2 linked regions of the Styela clava genome follow. The protein of the gene in region 2 binds, or shares a complex with, the protein of the main gene of each other region. Links are inferred from orthologs where the notes say so. Each region holds a gene or a part of one and is shown on either strand. Other genes may lie near its edges.

Region 1 (7,053 bases), on a different chromosome or scaffold from region 2:
CTACCTAATTCGACATTCAACACGAACAACGGAAAACATTTTTTCACATTTATTTTAGATGATCCAAATTATCATCAGCATCACGGGAGGTTTCCTTTTAATCATGATTACGTCAAAGGCCTTCAATTCGAAGATCAGCATTTGTCTCAAGGTGGCGCCCCGGAACACATCGCAAGTAGTCAACGATTACCTGTAAATGATTCCTATCCTGCGTGTTATCCCTACTATTTTGCCGAAAATATGTATGCAGATGAATACATGGATTCAGAATGCAGCCCAAACTTGAACACTGGAAATAAAATGCCACCCTATGCGCACGAGGACGCCAAGAAACCCGACTATGGTGCAAGCCCCTCAAACAAGAAGCATACAAAACGCTCAGATGAAGTTGCAGATTTGGAACCTAAATTCCGATCACCCTGGGAACTTGTGCAGAACAAAAAGACAATGCCTGAAATGAAGTCTATCGTCGCTAAAGATATGTCACTGCATCAACCGTCTGATGAAAAGAAACCGTCACCTGCCGGAAATAAAGACTTGAAATCCCCTTGGCAACCCGTGTGGAAATACAATTTTCCACATCTTCTGATGGAAGATACGCAACTAGATCGCATCATAGAGCTACCGAAGACAAAGCATGGAGGAAAAACATTCCAAGTCATTCCAAGGCGACGAAGGTAAAAAGTCCATAGGTCATGGAAGCATTGCAAGATAAACGGAATTTCTAACTTGTTTGGATTACATAGCCAACTTCATGTTTATGCATATATTATTACGGAATTTTTCAGGTCAGAATCACCTTCGCCAGGAGGCAAGAGATCTGTCGGAAACAATCGGCTAGGAACTCCATTTGTTGACAAACCGGTAACTCGGTCTGAACCTGATGGAAGTGAGTTTATATATTGCTTCACGAGGAGATTGACGATTTAGGCAAAATTTAAATGATATTTTTGCAAAACCATGCCGATTCATAACTTCAAATTTTCATAGTTACGACAGAATGTAAGCTTTGCCTAAAAATCCTATTGCTAAATCTAATAAACTGGACAACTATTCTCTTGCAACTTGTACAGGCATGGTGTAGTATTGGCCAGTACATCATTAAAATGATATTAGTGAAAATATCACCTACAACTTTTCCAGATTCTTCTCCAAAATGTGAATCAATATGGAACAAAAGTCGACAAAGCAAAACTTTTTTGAAGGATAATGTTACGAAGCAGATTGCTAGAAGGTACATACACAATTGTGTCTCATTTCGCCTAGTTTATTAAGTAACTTTTTGTCTTCACTACCAATTCATTATTATTTTAACACTTTTCGAATAGAGACAATCTCATAGCTGTTTTTATATTAGGTACTAAACCACAAATCATTGGTTGGAAACGTTTTTTATATATCCGAAACGTTTATACATTGACAGGCAAGAAAACGGACACACGTTTTTGCAATTAGATAACAATGGTTCATTAGAATCTCCTTCTCCAAAGGTACTTTCTTATAGCCGACATTTCACGCCGTCCCCAGTACACCAACACTCGCAAAATGAAAGTGACACAAAGAAGGAAGAATCGGATTTTTATGCGAACCAATACAGGTATTTTGTAATAAATTTTACCAAGCAAATCAAGCCCTAGCCCCTCTTATGAAATTATGTCCGACTTGGACCATAAAATTGAATAAGGCATAAGCTAGAAAGATGCAATAGAATTGCAGTGTTTTTTATAAATCATTTTATGCAGGCCTTATCATGAAAGACCCATTTCCACTGCCTCAGACAAATCACGTGATCAAGAGGAAATATCTGAGAGGACAACAAGGCCTAATCATAGTTTGAAATCAGAGAATTCATACAGAAAACTGAGCAAAGCGGTCAATTTTGCTCCGAGCACCTTTCCTCGAATGCCCCCACCATCTTATAGAGAATCTGAAATGACGGACGGAGTTGAAGATTTTGTCGAGAACAATGGTAGATACTTTGACAATGGAGGATGTTTTTATCCGAACGAATTTGGCATTCGGAACCCACTGGGTATGAGCAGAGAAAACGCGTTTGTAAAGCGACAATAATAGAGCCGATCTAGATGGCCTGAATTAAGTAAAACGAAGCTTGTAGACATGTGGCTGATTTCTTTTATTTGTTATAAATTTGACAATATTGTTATTTTATAAACACTATAAATTGTATATATTACTAGCTTTTTTACATGTCATTTCTGCAGTTCCGGCAAAATTTCACTTTTCAACCATGCCGTTTCGATCATAATGTATGAATTAAATTGTCTCTGCTCTTTAGAATGAACGATATGGTATATACAGTAATGGGTGTCTCCAAAATGTCGTGCCCCAATGTACCACGTGTCCAGGAGAAGTGGGACACGTGGTACCCGACATTTTGGAGTCACCGTACAGGTATGATATACCGGGACGTAATAATGTTTTTCGCAGCGAACTATTGTCTTGTGGTTTGTTGGTACCGAACGTGGTTTATCATCATTTAAACTGGATAACTTGCTTTTCATATATCTCCTTGTAAAATTATTGTGCGTAATGGCGTCTTCAATAAAACATCTATATTTTCATTCGATGTGGATTTTGGCATTAATATTTTACAGCAACAGCAAATGCTATGTTCAGATAAAAATATTTAATTCACAATTGAACTCCAGGCACCGGCTGTGTTTCAGCTATTAGATTAAACTACCAACTTTCGTGATATAAACCAAACTGCTCTCTGTCCAAATGACTCTTCTGAGAATGCAAAATACTAGATAAGGGTTGTTAGATTCAGTTAGAACAGGGTCGTCCAACCCGTGGCCCGCGGAAGTATTTCGAGTGCCCCGCGCTGTATTCTTTAGAATTCATTAAAAAAAAAGTTGAGTATATTTATCATTCGAGTGATGTAATGTGCAAAGATATGATACAAACGATATGCTTATTTTCCTGAAATGCGCTCTGCCACCCCTTTCAAGATGCAATAGTCGCTACGTATATACATAAAAGCCATAGCACATACATAAAAGCGAGCTAGCCCCAGATTGAAAATTCGTTAAGAAATGTATTTTTCGGGTTGTCAATGTTTCATGTCCGGAAATAAAAAAAAGGCGTTTGCAAAAATAGGCTTGTCAAGACAGACGGTTCTCGTCTTGTTGAAAAGCTTGGGAATTCTATAGCAGAAACTTTAATTGCAGTGGCCCGCGCACTTAATAGTAAACTAAATGTGGCCCTTCAGTCAAAAAGGTTGGACGACCCTAAGTTAGAATATGGGATTTGTCATTTTCTGGCAGTATTTCACTGTACTGTAAGTTCATCATCTGGCAATGATTTTAAAGTCATATTGTCTCCACGCACTCCACGACTCCACGCACAATGAAATGATTCGACAGTGATCCTCCCATCATATTTGTTGTCCACTGTAGGATAAATTTGTATAAAAACAACAAAATTACGATTAGCACAGTTTCACAGCCATAGCACAAAGATATATATTTTCATTGCATAGCACAAGGAGCTAGCCTAGGAAAACGGCCTATCCAACAAATCGCTGTAAATAGATGAGTTTTGTATAACTTAGCTTAGAAGGCTATAATATCAAAAAGTCAAGAGTTTAGTCGTACCTAAACTATCTATATCTACCTTTAGCATTTCTCCTGGATTATACAGACGCCCCCTCAACAATATGCAACCAGTGAGCGCTGGCTCCTAGAAACGATTGGTCGGTTAAATGTTTCGTGTCGAAAATACGCTACCGGACGCGGCACATGGAACAACAATAAAAAACAGTACTCGTGAGACGCCAGCGGAATACTGTTTACATTTCCCACCGGGGAATAACGAGTTCATAAATTCAGATGTGTGAATAGGTTTGCTAATCGTCAAAATTTCATTTTACAAAATACTAAACTATAAAGGGTAATTAAACTTTTTAGAGTGTTTTAATCACAATATACTTGCACAACAATCGTATTCAACTTTTATTGAAGCTGAAATTTTATCCGCATGGGATACAGTTTGATTTCGCCATTTCACCAAACAGTGATACTACAGACACATGTCACGGTCGCATACGCCACTTTGGCATACACTACAGCTGCTTAATTTTGCGCGTTGCAGGCTTTTGTAGTTTTAATCGCAGGTCTCCCTTGTTTTTTCATTGATTCTTTGCGATGGATTTGGGAATTGGAGCAACGGTTAAAAATGTTCAGATAGATGGTTTGGTAAGTTGTTGCTTTTTTTAGATAAAAAAATCGTTACAGTTAATGCCTTTCAATTTTATATTTGAAAACTCAGAAGGTTGACACTCAATAATACCGGTATCGGTACCCTGCAAAAACTCCACCAGTCCACGGTACCGTACCATATGTCCGTAGTCTATGTATGCCTGACCTCTATTGTATATTTAAAGAGGTGTAGGAAATGGAACATTGTAACTACCGGTATGTCTGCATGTAAAATAATAATTCTACTGTTATAATGTCTTTAGTGTATAGTCTACCCTCTGACCAGTGATAAGCTGGAAAAATCATAACAACCGGAACGCACCTAATTGCAAAAATGTAATAGGCCTATATATATTTGCAACACAACGCGAACATTTACAGAAAGTTTTGTCTGTCCTAAGATAGAGCCGAAGGACTGCAAGGAAATATGAAGAAATTATCTGAAATATGTCGGTGTAAAATTACAAGAATATTAATAGCAATTCAACACAAACATTATTATTAGAAAGGTATAAAATGAATTTCTATGGGGTCAATGGTCCGGAAAACATCTATGACGCGCTACTGCTGTACTAATTATTTGCGTGATGTGATGTAAAAAGAATTATGAATTATGATGTAACAAAACATGAATTAATTAACTAAGATTACCAGAGGAATCGACTTTTTGTACCATAATTTTAAATCAACAACAGGAACGCAAATGCAATAAAATGTCCAACAACTGGAATGCCTTTCCGGTGCGTTCCGGCTACAGCTCACCACTGCCTCTGACCCTAGTAGACATCACAATTGCATAAAATGACTTATTAGGATTTACATATATTTATCTCGGGGAGAGGAAATCTGGTGAGACGGCTTAATCATATAACATACCTCAGCCTCTCGTCCAGTTACCAGTCCATGTTGTATGGGATTGTTAGCCTGTTATTTGTTTCAAATACATTGACTTGCAGATTTGGTGGTGGAGGAAGCTGTAAATGTGAAGCGGTTATGTTAACCACCCTAGGCCCCCAGGATTCCAGCAATCCTTTTAATTATCTCCAACAGGATTTGAACCTGAGAACCCACGCAGGGTAATCAGAGGTGCGGTGGTGAGCGTATTCCTATTGCTGTAACGCTTAGCACGATACGCCATACCACCAAGATTTATGTACTTCATTTTATAACACAGGTTGTCATGAAAATAATCAAACACTGTGAGGAGGACAACACCGGACCAGAACTTGTGCAGGGAGTATTACTTGGACTTGTTGTTGGGGAGACTTTAGAAGTCACCAACTGTTTTCCGTTTCCTCGTGTCCCTGAAGATTCAGAGTTCGATGAAGGTTGGTTACAGTACTAAATAATTTGTTTTCTTAATTTGGTTTTTATTATTTTTTTGAGATATTAAGTTTCATAGGGCTTGGGATGTTCGTTTGTGCATACTCTCATTGATATTAATTTTTTTATCTTTTTATATATTTACTATTTCTTTTAATATACTAGGGATTACAGTCCAAGTCGCAATCTTTTCTTGTTATTTTCGCTATTTATTTTTATTTTGCTATTCAACTTATGAATCCCATGAATATAAAACTAGTAGGCCTATCAAACTAAACATTTTTAATTACTCAAATTCAGAAAAAAAAACTAGCAATATAATGAAGCCCTTGAATTACATGTTGTAGTATCACGATGAAAGTTTTGCAGAGCTTATGATACTTATTATACCCTTTACAGTTCAATATCAGATGGATATGATGAGATGTTTACGTCATGTTAATATAGATCATTTACATGTTGGATGGTATCAATCATCATTTCATGGAAATTTTATCAACAGACCTTTCCTAGAATCCCAGTTTTCATATCAGAATGCCATTGAAGAATCTGTTGTCCTAATATATGGTAAGATTTCTTATATAGCTTTTAATGTTCGGATTTCTATGTATTGAATGTATGATGTATCAAAAATTAATGTTCTTTTTTTGTGTATGAAATAATGTATTTACTCTGACATAAAAATCCTATTTAGATCCACTGAAAACAGGACAAGGAAATCTTTCACTAAAAGCTTTCCGTCTTACTCCAAAAATGATGAAATTGTATGAAGCTGGTGAATTTACAGTAGAAAGGTAAATATATGTTACACTCATAAGGAGATAATAACTATTGCTGTGATGATAACAGTAGTGTGGAGGTTGCTATATGCCCATACACTGTAATATGTATGATAGGATTGGTTTTAAATATTAGCCATTTACTTCATGCACTATTTTCTATTTTGTTTTCTGTTGTTGTCATTTGTTAGAAAATTACTTCGATTGTTTTCAAAGAATCACCTCATAATTTTTGTTATTTCTAATTCAAACTTCCTTTCTCCATTACATGGATAATCTCAAATAATCTATACTCTCGAAGTATGTGAACCAAGATGGCGGACACCGGAACGTAGTTTGTGTTCCAAGGGAGGGTTAGGCCATAATTTTATTCCAATTTTACTCATTTAGTTATATCGGCTCGAGGACTAGCCAAGTGACTCCCGTAGTATTTGTAGTTGAAATTAACTGGTAAACATACTATGTACCGGTGTCCGCCATCTTGGTTCACATACTTCAGGAGTACAAAAAAAACTAGTGTCCTGTGTCCATATCTTATTTGTCTGTCAAGTATACTCTCAGCTGTTCGTTTAGTTTGGATTTGGATAAAACCTCTCTCATAGTTGCCGGTATTTTATTGTACTATTCTCAGCTAAGGTAATGTGATTTCTACTTTATTTTAAGCCTTAAAGCTCAGAAGTTGGGCTTCACAGATGTATATGAGGAAGTTCCTATAAAAATCAAAAATTCAC
Region 2 (6,942 bases):
AACCCCACAAGTCCATCCATGAATTAACCTACAGAAAGTATATGCGGAAATACACAGTAAAATCAGAATAGGAGAACCAAAATAATTCCAATAAAATTCATTTTGAAATTAAATTCAAGCAATTAATTAATTTTTGAAAAATTGTGAGTTTTCTTAAGTTTGAAAATAGAACTATGTAACTAAATGAAAATTCAAATTTGTGTATATTCATAACCAAATTAAATTATTTAGACTTCCATTGAATAATGAACTATTATGCTATACTAACACAATTGAATTAAAATTAATTTTTCATTCCAAACACCAATTATAACTGTCATTTGGAATTATGCAACTCTCTGCCTTTGTGCTAGTGGATCCTTATGCAAATAATGCTACAGCAGGAGGTATTAAAATGACAATTCTATTTGCTACAAGAGTCTTGCTTGCTGCTTACTAACACAATCGAGATTAGAATTCTTCAGTCAAGCATAGAAATATCTCTCATTTATTCAATTATGGTCGAGTCAAGGCACTAACTTATTACTAGAATTTCTATGAAATTTAGGACTGTTTCAAAGTGGACTCAAACAGGTTCTAGTTTTATGATATCTCATATAAAGATATTCTCAATTAGGTTCCCATTACTCCAGTTACCAGTGTTTACTTAATTTTTCTACTATTCTATGCATGTTTCAATGACTATTCATAGAATCCACATACCGTAAATATTTTATTGAATAAATCATGATAATTAAGATCATACCTTTTTTAAATCGGTAGGAACAAGATTAATGCTTCCATTACTTCCAGCAACTTTCAACCACGCACAATATGTATCATAAAGAAAAGGTGTTTTGATGTCGTAACCATGAAAGAAATTATGCAATCTGTAAAGTAGTAAAATTAATTTTTAAATTTTTCTCTAAATAAACAAGACAACTATAGTTAAGCAACATCAATTTATTTGAACATTCAAAAAAAGGATTCCAACCATAGAACAAAAAAAACAAATGTTCACATTTATCCAAACAACAAGAATAACTATGGGAGACCAAAAGGTATTGATTGTGTCCCACTTGTCCCATTTTCAGTACACTTGTCCCACACTGCTTTGTGTTAGGGTAAATATGCATTGTGGGACAAATGGTTAAACTAAGCATAATATGACGTGGAAATCATGTTATGTGATTGTTTGAATAAATATAACATTGTGGCAGTAGGTTGGAGTATCCATATATAATGCGATATTCCAATGAGAACAATCGTGACAAGATTATGACAAATGTGGGATAAGTGAGAGCTTGGTTGCAACGTTTAGACGACGAACTAAATATGAGAACAAATATTTCCAAAAATATATTGATAGATATTATTTACTAATCCACATTGTGGAACATTAAAACCAGGATCTGAATTGGATAGATTTCATTAGGATATAAAAATGAAACTAAGGAAGCACGAACTTAAGAAATATGACAAAACGGCTGATGAGGATATCAAGATAAACTAACCCAGAAACAATGGCCCATAGTTTGAAAAGTTATCTGTAAAATGATATTATTCAAACCAGAAACACTTCATGGATTATGGATGATAGTGCAAAATATACATTCTTTAGTAATATTTTTACTCTTAATTGCATTGCAAAAATTTCTTTATATTACTTACAATCGCATAGAGAGAGACGCTTTGCCAAATTCTGCAGCTTTGGTCAGTTGGTCACACAAAACTTTTATCAGTGGCGTACAATTTGTAGGAGGAATGACGAAAAGTAAAGAAAGAATGCTGTTTATTACTCCTTCAATGTCTGCAAATATACATTAAAACAAATTGAATGAATACATGTTTTGACAATATACACTATTTGGGAATATTATTCAAAACCTTGTACATAGTTCATAAGGCTCTGATTAAGAGTGAAAGTGGTGACTCCTCTACGGCCCATAGGCAGGGGCCATGACCCATCAAATTGGGCCTCGGCCCATCAGGCTATGGGCCATAGCCCATCAAGTTGTGTGAAGGGACTATTCACTTGGCTAACACAGACAGTCCCTGAACTCATAATAGAACTATAATGTTAAAAATATGAACAAAATTTTGTCCTAAGCCTAACCTGGTACACATACTACAGGAGTATCCTTTTCTGTAGCTTGGTATTCTGCTTTATTTTTATATAAAGGCTCATTGTAAAAAAAAATTGGTGGCATCCCGTGTTTTTGTTTGGTTCGAATATTAAAAATTTTGGCAAGATAATTGAATTTTTCTTGATGGGGCATGGGCCCAATTAGATGGGCCATGGGCCGTAGAGGAGTCACCATCCCTGTAGCTAATTAATGGAGGGCAAACATTCTAAAACCCATGTCAACAAACTGACAAATCCCAAATTTACGATGGGTCATGTCATGTCATATAAAATTTTTACAACTCTTGGAATATATACCTCTGATGTCACAATTCTTCCAAAGAATTTCTGTTGATTTAATTATCTCGCTGACATTTTCATAAAGATCTTCTTTGTTTTCAATATCAATCTCTGCACCAATTGACTTTAGATACTCACGCAATTCCTTCGCCTAAAGAAAATGACAAAATATTAACTTCAAGTCCTCAATACAGCACACACCATACTGCTGCAAGCTTGCAAAAAATTACTTATCGAATTAAGAAATATTCTTGCTAGAGAATAAAAATCATAAATTGATTGCATTTAATCACTTATCTCAGGATTCTGCTAACATGCTAAGGTGCCAAGGGTTTTATCAGCTTATTTCTGTATTTGTGTAATATCTGAATACTGAATTTATGACAAATTTGACAACCCAACATGAAAGCATACGAAAACTACTGGCAACTGCAGAACATCTTTAATAAAGAAACATCAAAATAAGTATAAATACTGAAACAAACAGATTAAAATTTTACCTGATCTGCAGGAGGAAGATCGATAAATGCTGGAACACTCATATTTCAGTATTTAACCTTGAAATTAAGAGTACAAGTTTTTTTCCACTTCCAACACACAACTTCGCTACCGTACCTACTTTGATCAGGTTATTCTGTAATTACTGAATTACTAGTTTTGTTTTTGCTAAACCTAAAAACCCTTGCTTCCTTGCCTACTTTCTGACTTTCATGTCCCTTCCACGCCTCAAACGCAACATTGAATCTTCTATAAATGCTGGTCATGTTACATGTGTGTAACGACATTGTGAATTTCATGTTCAAATAAATCATTTCATTATTTAATATATATATATATATATACATGAAAAATAATATCTACGTGGAAGATAATATTTCAATATGAAAGTCTTATTTTTTTTATGTTTCCACAATGTGGTTTATTCAATTTGGCAGTTTTTAGCGTCTCAAATAGAAAATCGTGAAAAGCACCGGTCGAAAAGCATGCGCCTCGTCGCCGAAGTCAATGCGCACAATGAGCCGCAAAAGCGACTCGTGAAATGTGAAAGTAGTCTTCACAATATTTTTTTGACATAAACCGAAAAATGTTATATATGAGTCAAAAATTGAGATCAAAAAAATTAATAAAAACAATCAAATGATTAGGTGCAAGAAAAAAGACTAACAAACTTTATTGGTCATCGATACGGGTCATCGATTTTTGACTCTTGTACGAATTAAAACGAATCGACTTCATCTGCCTTTTGGTTACGGGAGGCGCGATGGTGAGCGGTCTATATTTATATCCATTGACATCGTTTCAGTTTTTGATTGTATCACAGTTTATAAACGGCGAATTGTTTATATCATCTTTTTCATTTAAAAAGAAAATCAATTTCAAGGTCTTGATCATCGCTGAATCTGTCAGTTGAAGATAATACTGATCTTCATTGAGTACTGGCACAGGAACAAAGTTATTATGACATACGTGAAATAGTACCCACAACTTGCCACTATCTGGGGCAAATCAAGTTCTTGTCGTAAAACTAAACCCACAACTTGCCATAATCTGGGGCAAAGCTTCATGTTTGGAAGTAAGCTGATGAAGCAGTTACTTATGCTGCTGCGTGTGCAGACGTACCATTGTTGGTAACTTGTGTATGGTACCAGTATAATTTATCAACATACTTGGTATATACAGAAATCATGTATAACGTTATATAGTCTATAACCCTTTGTTCTGAATAAAGTGGTAACAGGACACTGAGACATGGATAATATTATTAAATAGTGGTGTTTCTTGGTCGAGTGTTGTTTATTACTGTATCATTGTTTTTTATTATTTGGGCTTGTCATTGCATATTTTATTCCCAACCCCCACCTGACTACGTCGTCCGAGAACTTCGTCTTGATTGCTCAAACGCCAGTGATTGCCCACAATCAGTACGGCACATTATACAATTCGGGTGACATTGTCCCATTTCAGGGAAACCCATTTTACAGATGATCAAACACCCCTCCTTTGGGAGACGTCTGGACATTGTTGTCCCTCAATATTGGTAATAATACAGTATAATGAAGTTGCGCTGAATACTATAAAAAAGCGCAATCTAGTAACGTCATCATTGTATTCCTTGGGAAAAGACGATCGATTTACTGAAGGAAAAAAAATTTTACAGTAGCATTCGAGAGTTTTTAGCAAAAAACGGCAATTTTGGTCATGTGACGGCCGCGATTAACTTATATTATTATTAGAGAACCATGGTGTGATATGACGCATCTGACGTGGTCCCAGACGCCACTTGTTTGTGAGACACATAGTGTTTGTTTTATAGAGCCAAATGGAGGGAAATTTTTGGAATTTGTATAGTGTGCTGTACTGACAATAACGAACGCCAGCGATCCCTGTCATAATTGGCATAGCTACGGCGAGACAACAAGAGAAAAAGCTTGCCAGACTTCGGGTAATCGTCTTAAATTTTGGATGGTTATCCGTATATTTCGGAGGGCCTTATTACGTCACTGTGAAGCACAGTGATGTAATATTTGATGGCGTAGTCAGGTTGCAGGTGGGGGTTTGGAATGACACATACAAACGAAACTACACAAGAATCCTATTTCGTCGGTGCCATTCGTATTAAAAACGCACAAATTATTAATGCTGTAATGGTTTGCTACCAGTAATGGACTGACTCATGGTTGTATTCAAAATTGACTGCAGGTAACATTCCTCTTGGACATTGTTGAACGAAATTCAAATCCCTAAATATCCAATTTGTGTATTAGTATTATCTTTAAAATGCTTCATTTTCAAGTCATCATTTTTTTAGTGGTTTGCTGTTCCGTGGGAGGTCCTCATTTTCATAATATTGAAAGGGGCTATCACAAAGTTCACTGGATGAATTTAATATTATACTCGCCACCAAGTCATATCCCAAATTTTGTCTATAGATGCGGTCTATGCTGAGTATGAAATATTTTACTACAAATTAATAGCGTATATTCTTTTTGGTAGGTTTCCAGGTTCAAGAAGACGAGGAAGTTACGTGGCCATGTGAGCCACGGCCATGGTAGAGTTGGTAAGTGAATGAAAAGATTCTGAAATTGTTCAAAACTTCAAATATAACATTGCATCTTGATTACAGGAAAACATCGCAAGCATCCTGGTGGTAGAGGAAACGCTGGTGGACAACATCACCACAGAATCAATTATGATAAATTGTAATATCAGAATTTAGTTTTTTACTTTCACTGAATGTTTGTGGACGTTAATTTATTTGTTACATTTTGTGTTGATAAACTAACGTTTGTGTGCCAAAACAAAGAATGTACAGCACTGGGGTCTAGTGTATTTTCGTACTTCTAGTTGTTTTGAAAATTGTTTCCATATGTCAATCCTAACCTCAACCTGACTGTCATCCAAAAATTAGTCACGATGATTTTATAAGGCCCTTCAAACTATACGAACTGTCATCCAAGAAGCGCACTTTTAACTGAAATCAAACAAGCTATTTTATGCGTCACAACAATCCCAATGTGAGAGAGATCTGCCGTTAGTAAGTTCTTCATCGTCGGCGCAGATGCCATTACAGGCGATCAGAGGTATACCTTGGCAAGCTCTATGACACGGTTGTGACATAATTTTTGGGTGACGCAGTCAGGTGGGGGTTATGATTGACTTGTGAAAAAATCGTTATGAGTGCTTGAGGTACGAGACACCAACACTGGATGATTGTCTTATTTGGCAAGAGTTTTTTGTGTACCGTGTTACTTTGTAGATATTAAATATAATTATTACTTTAATATAAGGATTTATTACTGTTTTATAGCCATCCTGGTTACTTCGGTAAGGTTGGAATGCGAGTTTACAATATGAACCGTAACAAGCAGTATTGCCCAACTGTGAACCTCGACAGATTGTGGTCACTTGTCAGCGAACAAACTAGGCTGAACTACAAGGATAAGAAAGATGTTGCTCCAGTTATAGACGTCGTCCGAGCGGTTAGTTATATATATTCTATATTTTTTATTACTGTGACAAAGATCTGTTAATAATTACCGGTATGCTTTGAACTGAAAGGAATCTTGAGGTAAATGAACTTCCTACCAATTTGTTTGAGTAACATTTTTTGCCATAAGAAACAAAAGTGGTAATTTTCAATATGCTTAAATGGGCAAACTACGGCCTGCGGGCCAATTCCGGCTCGTTGGGTAATTTAATGTGGTCCGCCTGAGGCTGCCACAATCAACTAAAACCAAATTTTGATGTTTTAGCTAAAAATGTCTCGAGGAATTTATTGAGACTGCGATTTAATTTAGTTTCGTCACAAGGCTTTTTCGCTTTTGTAACACCAATTTTTTTTTGTTCATAAAATTTAACTTTTATGTCATACTTACATGGCCCGCCATTCTAGATGGGCAAACTGCTCTTATGCATTCTAAAATAATAATCAAACATATATCTAAATAACAATTGCTGTCGCTACTTCTGCTTATTGCTTTGCGACATTATCTTTCTTTATTATTTTTTTATTTTTTAAAAAACGTGGAAAATTGGAG

The links. Proteins that work in one complex are often made in the same cells at the same time.
Region 1: eukaryotic translation initiation factor 3 subunit M-like (region 2) and eukaryotic translation initiation factor 3 subunit H-like share a complex: the UniProt entries of both Drosophila melanogaster proteins name them as parts of the eukaryotic translation initiation factor 3 (eIF-3) complex. The link is inferred for Styela clava from reciprocal best matches to the Drosophila melanogaster genes eIF3m and eIF3h.

Annotation. Positions count from the first base shown.
Region 1 is NC_135257.1:9,053,639-9,060,691, forward strand, and holds the start of eukaryotic translation initiation factor 3 subunit H-like, read left to right. Parts: upstream 1-4,040; 5' UTR 4,041-4,166; coding exon 4,167-4,217; intron 4,218-5,394; coding exon 5,395-5,548; intron 5,549-5,942; coding exon 5,943-6,110; intron 6,111-6,237; coding exon 6,238-6,337; intron 6,338-6,985; coding exon 6,986-7,053. Other genes in the region: uncharacterized protein LOC120345504, read left to right, coding at 59-677, 789-889, 1,144-1,234, 1,424-1,597, 1,743-2,070. UniProt on the Drosophila melanogaster protein: Component of the eukaryotic translation initiation factor 3 (eIF-3) complex, which is involved in protein synthesis of a specialized repertoire of mRNAs and, together with other initiation factors, stimulates binding of mRNA and methionyl-tRNAi to the 40S ribosome.
Region 2 is NC_135252.1:4,104,806-4,111,747, forward strand, and holds the start of eukaryotic translation initiation factor 3 subunit M-like, read right to left. Parts: upstream 3,113-6,942; 5' UTR 2,947-3,112; coding exon 2,905-2,946; intron 2,556-2,904; coding exon 2,423-2,555; intron 1,790-2,422; coding exon 1,651-1,789; intron 870-1,650; coding exon 746-869; intron 29-745; coding exon 1-28. Other genes in the region: large ribosomal subunit protein uL15-like, read left to right, coding at 3,666-3,668, 5,399-5,462, 5,529-5,604, 6,213-6,384. UniProt on the Drosophila melanogaster protein: Component of the eukaryotic translation initiation factor 3 (eIF-3) complex, which is involved in protein synthesis of a specialized repertoire of mRNAs and, together with other initiation factors, stimulates binding of mRNA and methionyl-tRNAi to the 40S ribosome.